Ovis aries: one gene and its partner. The protein of the gene in region 1 interacts with the protein of each later gene in a pairwise test. Links are inferred from orthologs where the notes say so. Each region holds a gene or a part of one and is shown on either strand. Other genes may lie near its edges.

What was found.
Region 2: the proteins of TNFAIP3 (region 1) and YWHAB interact in a two-hybrid assay, tested with the Homo sapiens proteins (2 studies listed by BioGRID). The link is inferred for Ovis aries from reciprocal best matches to the Homo sapiens genes TNFAIP3 and YWHAB.

Annotation. Positions count from the first base shown.
Region 1 is NC_056061.1:63,034,845-63,039,171, forward strand, and holds part of TNFAIP3 (tumor necrosis factor alpha-induced protein 3), read left to right. Parts: intron 1-153; coding exon 154-334; intron 335-1,464; coding exon 1,465-2,369; intron 2,370-3,439; coding exon 3,440-3,912; 3' UTR 3,913-4,327. UniProt on the Homo sapiens protein: Ubiquitin-editing enzyme that contains both ubiquitin ligase and deubiquitinase activities.
Region 2 is NC_056066.1:73,254,641-73,259,362, reverse strand, and holds part of YWHAB (14-3-3 protein beta/alpha), read right to left. Parts: intron 2,829-4,722; 5' UTR 2,826-2,828; coding exon 2,526-2,825; intron 325-2,525; coding exon 201-324; intron 1-200. UniProt on the Homo sapiens protein: Adapter protein implicated in the regulation of a large spectrum of both general and specialized signaling pathways. Binds to a large number of partners, usually by recognition of a phosphoserine or phosphothreonine motif.

The DNA of each region.
Region 1 (4,327 bases):
CCATTTGATTTTGTGGCTAGATAATACTTTTCCATTCTGTAATTGTATCCTTTCTGCATTTTCAAAATGCAGTCGTTATATATATATATGACCTCACACAAAATCTTGTTTAGTAGAATCATTTTGCTTACGTGCTATTTCTTTTTCCCTCAGAAATCCGAGCTGTTCCACTTGTTAACAGAGAGCGAGGACGATTTGAAGACTTAAAAGTTCACTTTTTGACAGTTCCTGAAAACGAGATGAAGGAAAATCTCCTGAAAGAGTACTTGATGGTGGTAGAAATCCCCGTTCAGGGCTGGGACCATGGCACCACCCATTTAATTAATGCTGCAAAGTAAGCAGTTTGTTTTTGGCTCTTTCCTGTGTCATCTTTAAGCTGCTTCTGCCTCAGAGACCAATAGTAAAGTTATTTGAAGCCAGTTTCCTCCAACGTGAAACAAATTTAGGGGCTTGTGTGTGTCAGAGACAATCAGCTTAAGTGGCACTGACTTTGGTTTTCAAATGAAAACAAGGAATTTTTCCAGAGGCTTGTCCTGTGTATCTGGATGCTTGGAAGCCAGCACGGTGGCTTCAAAAAGTGCGTTCACATCAAGGATACTTTTTTTTCTTTTAATTGCCCTAGTGCTAGACTAACAAGTGAAAATTCTTAGAAACAAAAGCCTCATTCTCCTGGCTTCTGGGTAAGGCAGACACATCACATGCAGGCTGGGCTGTAGAATGTGTTTCTGTAGCAGCCACATGAGTTGGCCACGTGGATCAGGGAGGAGAGACCCAGAGTGCGGGTTTATAGGTATCAAGATTGTAAACACTGGCTTGATGATAAAGAGATGCCTGTTTCCTAGAACTTGAAGTGCACAACACCGAGAAGGCCTAAGCTAAACAATTTCTCAGCGTGGAGATGAACAAATTTCAGTGAGTCAGAAGTCAGCACGGAGTGCCTGTTGGTGCGTCCGCCTCTTAGTTACTGCTCATGGCAGTTAACGCTGATAGGCACCAGACGCACATTTAAAATTAATAGCAGCAAAATACGGAATGCAACCTTCCCGTATAGTTTGTGTTGGAAAGTAGACTTGTCCCAAATGAATACCCTGAATAATGTTTCAGTAGAAATTTGATCTCTGAGAATTTAGATAGTAAAAGTAACTATTTCAAAGAGGAATAGAGTAAGTAGAGAAGCAGTCCCCAAGTAACCCCTTTCTTTAGCATTATCTGTAATTTGGGGTGGACCACAATTAATTAAATGAGACTGATTCTCAGAATAGTGATGTCTTCTCAGCATTACTGGACTGTGTTACGTTAGAAGTGCAAACTATCACAGACTGCATTTCAGTAGGTGGGTAGAAAGTTATTGCCACAATCCATATTTTCAGTTTGCTCTATGAGCCAATGATATAAAATTGTGTGTGTATGTGTGTTTGTGTGTGTGTGTTTGTGAAGTCTCATATTTTTCCTTTTGTTCTTTAGGTTGGACGAAGCTAACTTACCCAAAGAAATAAACCTGGTAGATGATTACTTTGAACTTGTCCAGCACGAGTACAAGAAGTGGCAGGAAAACAATGAGCAGGGACAGAGAGACACACACCCCCAGAATCCTCTGGACCCTTCCATCCCCCAGCTTTCTCTCATGGAAATCAAATGTGAGACACCCAACTGCCCATTCTTCATGTCTGTGAACACCCAGCCTTTGTGCCACGAGTGCTCAGAAAGGCGGCAAAAGAACCAAACGAAAGTCCCAAAGCCCACCTCCAAGCCGGGCCCCGAGCTGCTCCCCGGCCTGGTGCTTGGGACCTCCCGGGGGGAAGTCTGGAGTCCTGCGGAGCCTGCCGGAGGCCCCCACTCAGCCCCTCCGACGGCACCCAGCCTCTTCCTCTTCAGCGAGACCACGGCCATGAAGTGCAGGAGCCCCGGCTGCCCCTTTACCCTCAACGTGCAGCACAACGGCTTCTGTGAGCGATGCCACAATGCCCGGCAGCTGCCAGCAGGCCACCCTGCGGACCCCACACGGCTTCCTGACCCGAGTAAGTGCCGAGCCTGCCTCCAGGATGTCACCAGGACGTTTAATGGCATCTGCAGTACTTGCTTTAAAAGGACTACAGCCGAGGCTGCCCCGAACCTCAGCTCCAGTGGCTCCCTGTCCTGCCACCAGCGCTCCAAGTCTGACCCCTCACAGCTGGCCCAGAGCCTGTCCCCACACGCCTGCCGCAGAGCCGGGCCCGAGGCGCCCTCTGGTCACCACTCCCCGGCCACAAGGACTCCAGGGGACAGGAAGGGGACCAGCAAGTGCAGGAAAGCGGGCTGCATGTACTTTGGGACCCCAGAGAACAAAGGCTTTTGCACGCTGTGTTTCATCGAGTACAGAGAAAATAAACGTGAGTGTCATGATGGGTTTCCTCTCCTCTGCTGAAAAACTCCCGAGTAGAGGGCTGTATGCCCCTTAACTTCAAGAAGGGAGCCCCTCTGGGCCATGGGGGGGAGTGTGGCTTGCCTGGGGGCAGAATCCCAGTAAGTCTTCCAGCACGCTTGGAAGTAAAAGCACAAAATAGCATGTTCCAAGACCCACAGAGCTCTGTGCAGAGTTCAGAGAATTTGTTTTATAAGGTCATGCAATGCAATGTTTGTAAGGTAGAGTTCAAACAAGACTTCTTTTGAAACTCAAGCGAACTAGAGAAAATTCAAAATCTGAAGAGCAGTAACTGAAAAGAGAGCTTCCCTGGTTTCTCCAATGGTTGAGAATCCTCCTTCAATGTGGGAGACCTGGGTCTGATCCCTGGGTTGGGAAGATCACCTGGAGAAGGGGATAGCTACCCACTCCGGTATTCTTGCCTGGAGAATTCCACGAACAGAGGAGCCTGGTGGGCTACAGTCCATGGGGTCACAAAGAGCCTGACATGACTGAGCGACTAACACTTTAGGGCTTCCCTGGTCGCTCAGAGAGTAAAGAGTCTGCCTGCAATGCAGGAGACCCAGGTTCAATCCCTGGGTCAGGAAGATACCCTGGAGAAGGAAATGGCAACCCACTTCAGTATTCTTGCCTAGGGAATCCCATGGACAGAGGAGCCTGGCGGGCTACAGTCCATGAGGTCACAAAGCGTCAGACATGACTGAGCGACTAACACGCACAGACAGCTGGAAAGAGGGCGGTCTCCACTGACTACATAAGAATGCCTTTGTGGTTTTAGAAATATCAAATCTGAAAGAAGGATGGGCACTTAATGTCTCTGCTTGTTCTGTGGCTGTGACCTACCCGTTCAGCATGTTCCAAAGGGAGAGACTTGTAGAGTCAAAGATGTTTTAATTCCAGTGTTATTTTTGTTGTTTAGTTTGCTGCGTGTCTGAAAAGTTGCTCTCCTAGAGTGCAACTGGCCTAATCTGTGTCAGAAAACTGTCCTTCTGCTGGGTGGCCCATACGTTTTCCTGATGAGCCTCCACTCTCTTGCAGATTTAGTCGCTGCCTCTGGGAAAGCCAGTCCCACAGCCTCCAGGTTCCAGAACGCAGTCCCCTGCCTCGGCAGGGAATGTGGTGCCCTTGGTAGCACCGTGTTTGAAGGATACTGTCAGAAGTGTTTCATTGAAGCTCAGAATCAGAGATTCCATGAAGCAAAAAGGACTGAAGAGCAGCTGGTGAGACCTCTCGAGGGACTTCCCCGTCTCCTGCAGGCCCGGCCTCCTTCCCAGGGTGATAAGCGGGCTTTTCTCCCTGCTGAGTTCCAGGGAAAAACCAGGGGAAAAGTCAGCCTGGCCCCCAGGCTTGGACATGCAGCAGTTCCTATTGATTTTCATGGCCTAAGTTTGCTTTTGAATTCATTTGAAGAAGCAAATGAAACTAGCCGTGGAATAAAACCCATGAAAGCCTCTGAGAAGCCAGATGGTGATCAGAGACTTCTTGGATTTGTAGAAGTACAGACCTCCTAGTGGCCAGCAGGCTTCCTTAACTAATAACAAATCCTCTGTCATGAGATCCAAGGAGGAAGCAGATCACCCCAGGTGCCTCCACTTACTGGCCAAAAGAAAGCAAGCATTTACTGACAGATGCCTTCCCTGTTGGTTGTTGGATGGTAGAGAATCTGTCTGAGTGAGGATAGCTTAGTATTCACGCAGTTACTATTCATGCAATTACTATTCACGCAGACAGAAGCTAGCCTCTGTGTTAGGGTTGGTGGTTCCCCTGGGCCTCCGTGAGGCCAAGGTCTGATTTCATGGGATGGGGAAAAGCGGTCCTTGGAGACTCCAGTCCATAGGCTGCCACCTGTCCCCTTGCCCAGGCGGATGCCCCTCACCTTACCGGGCCCTTTGTAGGACTCATACTGTCAGCTGAACAGGGCACCGT
Region 2 (4,722 bases), on another chromosome or scaffold:
CCATGGCGTCACGAAGAGTCGGACACGACAGAGCAGCTGAGCACATGTGACCCTGTTTGTCACTGGTCAGCACAATGCTGTGGTTCCTTAAACTCTGACTACAGACCAAGCAAAAACTCAAAATTACTAGGAAGATGGTCTCTGCTACTGGTCAAATTCCTCAAAAAAAAAAGAAAGAAAAAAAAAAAAAAATTACTTACTTTGTTTATTGTCTCCAGACGCCACCTCAGAAAGATATCTAAAATAATCGCCTTTCATTTTCAAGTAGAACACCTTACTTTCTGGTTGTGTAGCATTGGGAATAAGGTATTTATCCAACAGCTCCTAAAAAATGATCCACATTCTGTTAAGACTCTGGAAATATTACTTACAAGATGTTAAAACTATGTTTGAGATTTGAGATACTACCACTTCTAAATAATTGGGGGGGGAGGGGTCGTGATTACAAAATACATGATTTTCATCCAAAGTTTTTAAATAGTTTTTAGCCCAGGTCATAACAGATGCCAGTATCCATTAAAATCCACTCTGACGGTCCAATAAAGGGTTAAAGTACAGCCATACAATGGCATGCTACAGGCATTAAAAATGACGAGGCAGAACTACACTGATAATGTGGAAAGGCTCTCCACAAGAAGTCTGAGTGGGGAAAAAGAAAAACGGATAATAAATACCAAGTGAATCCTATTTTAATATTAAAACAGATATATGCACATGCATATAAATACCTAAGGGAAAAATCTAGAAGAATATTTATCAAGATGTTAACAATGGTTCTCTAAGTAATAGTATTAGAAGTGATTTTAAAGTTTTCTTATTTATACTCTTCTGCCTTGTGCTTAAAAAAAAATCGTATTAATTCTGTAATTTTAAAAAAAAAATCTTTCCACTTCAGAAGAAAAAGGGTGATAGTAGGGAGAAATTCCAAGAACTAACTTTAGAATCGCTCAGACCTGGGTAAAAAAATCCCTCCTCTGCTGCTTACCATCTGTATGACCCTGGACAAAGGACCTGATTGCCCTGATCCTGTTTCCTCAGCTACACAAGGGGAAGCCCAACAGCCATCTCCTAGTGCAGTTACGAGGATAAATGAGCCAATGTTCAGAGTGCTTAACACGCCGCCTGGCACTAGGAAGCACTCCAAAAGTAGCTAAGACTATTATTAATAATAAATTCCTTTAAACATTTATGCTTACAACAAAAGCAGTTGTGAAGGAGTCCACGCTTCGTATACAGAGCAATATTTTCGAAGAGTTGTTTTAGAATGTGGCATCCTGAAAAACTGGTTAAGAGGCAGTAAGTACCATGCTTTTCTTCACATTCTTTCAGATGCTCGTAAAAGCTGGTCTACCGTTCAGGAATTAGGGAACTTTCTTGCCTTGGGAGTGCATGCCATACTTCATCTGAGTACCAGATGTACCTAACATTCGGGAATTAGCGCACCATTAACAAACCCCCAAATGACCGACAGGCAACAAATTTAGCCACGACACTCTTATACCACGAGTCTAACCAAAAAAAAAAAAAAAAAAAATTAAACAGCAGCTTGATGCAAAAGCTTAGCAGTAAGGGGGACCGAATCAATCAGAGTGAGAGGATGCGGGGGCGGGGGGCGGTAGTCGTTTTAATCATCTGTGCAGACAGACAGGGTGCGACTCCTTATGGGTTGGACATGAGGAGTCCTGCCTGATGGCTAACAAGCTCTGTACTGGTTTTCAAAAGGTGTCAAGGGCAGTAACTCGGAAAGGCAGCCAGCAGGGGAGGAGGGAGATCCACAAATGTGAACTCCTTCTCCCTTCAAAGCAGCCCTCACCATTCATTTTTACCTGATTTCACCTGGAAGAAAGAGAGAGTTCCCAGTGGGCTCAAGACGTGAGGGAAAGACAGTGTGATCATGATTTGCTCTACGGTATGAGGCCCTCCCACCCACCCCCAGGTGATGGCTCGAGGGAAAGCAGCGAGGAATCAGTGGTCCAACTCAGGTTCATATGAAATCACGGCAAGGGAAAATCTCCATTCCACTTGTGATTTGCCTTTGGAAAGAAGGCCCAAACTGATGGACAGGGCTAACTTACAAAACTACCACTGTGCAGGGACCAGGGAGCAGCTGAGAGATAGGTCAGCTTTTGGCTCCCCTCTCCCCTCCCGGAGAGGACACCGCCGTCAGACTCCACAGAGAACAGCCTCTCTGTGGGTGCACCTATCGAAAATGCTGCCTCTCTGCCCTCAATTTCTAAAGAAAAGATGGAGGGATGTTGAGCAAACATTCCCGTTTTTCAGAGGTCTTTGGAAGAGAGAGGAAAATATCCCACAAGTGATGAGCAACCTCTGATCAGGTTAAGAGCTGAGGGAGAAAAAAAAAAAAAAAAATCACACAGTGTGCTTAAAACTTAGCTGCAAATGGTTTGCAGCTTCCCAGTATATTCAGCCACCTTTCTCTCAAGAGCTGTTTGAGAGGTGGCGTTTGTTCATGAAATGAACGCTATTAAGAGGTGTTCTTTAGAACAGGAACACTGGCCTCTTACCAGCACGTCATTGCAGATGTCCTGCAGCTCAGCCTCGATCTTCTCGCGGTACTCCTTGCCCATCTGCTGCTTCTTCTCATTCCTCTCGGTTTTCTGTTCAATGCTGGAGATGACACGCCAGGATGAACGGCGGGCGCCGACCACATTCTTGTAGGCGACGGACAGCAGGTTTCTCTCCTCGTTGGAAAGCTCGTGCCCCTGCTCCGTGACCGCCTTCATGGCTGCAGCCATGTCATCGTAGCGCTCGGCCTGCTCGGCGAGCTTGGCTTTCTGTACCAGCTCACTTTTATCCATGGTCATTCCCTAAAACGAGAGGGAGAGAGAAAGTGAACATCAGGCTTCGAGGCCCAGGAGGCGCGTACGTGCCAATCTTCTTTCAACCCATCTGGGAGGAAACACAGCTAAATGGGAAATGTCTATTTCCAAATGCCTCCGGTAATACTTGAGCAGGAGCACCCACCGGGTTAGGAACTTTGCTAAAAAGGTGTTTTTACCTTCACAGCAGTCCTACAGGTAGATCCGTTTCCAACACTCCCTTCCCCCTCCATGAGGTGAAGAAGTAGAGGTTCAGAGGTGCCAACTGCTGTGTCCAGGGCAGCACAGCCAGGAGAGAGCAGAGAGCCAGAACCCAAACTCACGTCTATCTTTCGAGCTGTTTTCCTCCACTTTCCTAATCTGCCTCCTCAATGCCAGAGATGGCTCAATTCTTTAGAAGCTTATGTTAAACATACAGCCTTTTCTTCTTTCAAGAAATATCTGGTTTTCACCAAATTTGTTTTTCCCCATACTATAGGGAAAAACACCATGCAATGATTGTTTCATTAACCTTAAAGCAAAAGATAGGACTTTCAGTGTTATATTTGGCAGTGCCCATCAAGTGGTAGGTACCTTAAACATACAAGCCATTTTTATCCCATCGTCTGCAAAGTGCTAACTTTGGTACAAGGACACACTGTCCACGACAGCAGATTTGGCTCAACCTTGCACCAGCTCAGCTACTTACAAGAAACATGACCTTGGTCAAATCACTCAGCTTCTGAGAACTTCCGTTTGCTAACTGGAGAGGAAGAACACTGCCAACTCTCTGGGGGCTGCTGTGAGGCACAAGTGGCCTCATCTGTGTGAAGGCACCGTGGAAAGCCCAGGGCAGCGGTTCCCAGTTTCTGGCACCAGGAACTGATTTCGTGGAAGACAATTTTTCCACCAACCAGGGGTGGGGGTGGGATGGTTTCAAGATGAATTCAAGCACATTACACTTATCATGCAATTTATATCTAACCTGACGCCACCGCTGATCTGACAGGACGTCCCAGTCCATGGCCTGGAGGTCAGGGACCCCTGGTCGAGAACATTATATACAAATACCAGGCACTGACTCTGTACACGGTACAGACTGCGAGAGACCTGGGTGTATTCACCAAGACGCACAGCAACAGAGCTGTGAACCATAATTCAGTTTGTTTAAAAGTTTTCCTGAAACAGACAAAAATCTTGGTGATTTCAGCTTTTCATTTTCTCAAACCCTCTATACAGCAATCAGTGAATACCTCTTAAAATGATTCACCTCACCTCAGTCAATTCCCAACTATACTAATCACCATTACGGGAATTCCCTGGGGGCCCAGTGGTTAGGACTCTGCTCTCTCATTGCCAAGGGCGTGGATTTGACCCCTGCTTGGGGAACTAAGATCCCACAAGCCTCAAGGCAAGGCCGGAAAAAAAAAAACAAACAAAAAAACACCAAGGCAAAAATAGCCACCATTAATATAATGCAATAATTTCTGGATAACATGTAGCTAAAAAAAATATTTATTAACCAGTAAGACATAGTTTCAGGCACTGCTGGTTTAAATCTCAATTGTATTCACCTATTCCACAGTGTTAAAATACACTAATATCTTGAGGTAGAAAAAAAATAAAATACTACTTATAGTATTTTATTTTATAACAGTAGTGGGAATACCAGTGTTTTTTTAAACAAATGCTCTCATTACTTTATACATCATACCACAATTTAAGACTCTGGTTTTGCCTTCACAGCCATTTTTGTATTTTCAAGAGAGAAATTCTACAGACAAGACTCTACCACATGAAAAGGTCTTATTAAATGAAGGACAATTTTAAGATACACCCTAAATCTAGACAATTTAGAAAGAGTTGGTGCTCCAGTTCAGAACTGTGAGTTTTCTCCCCACCT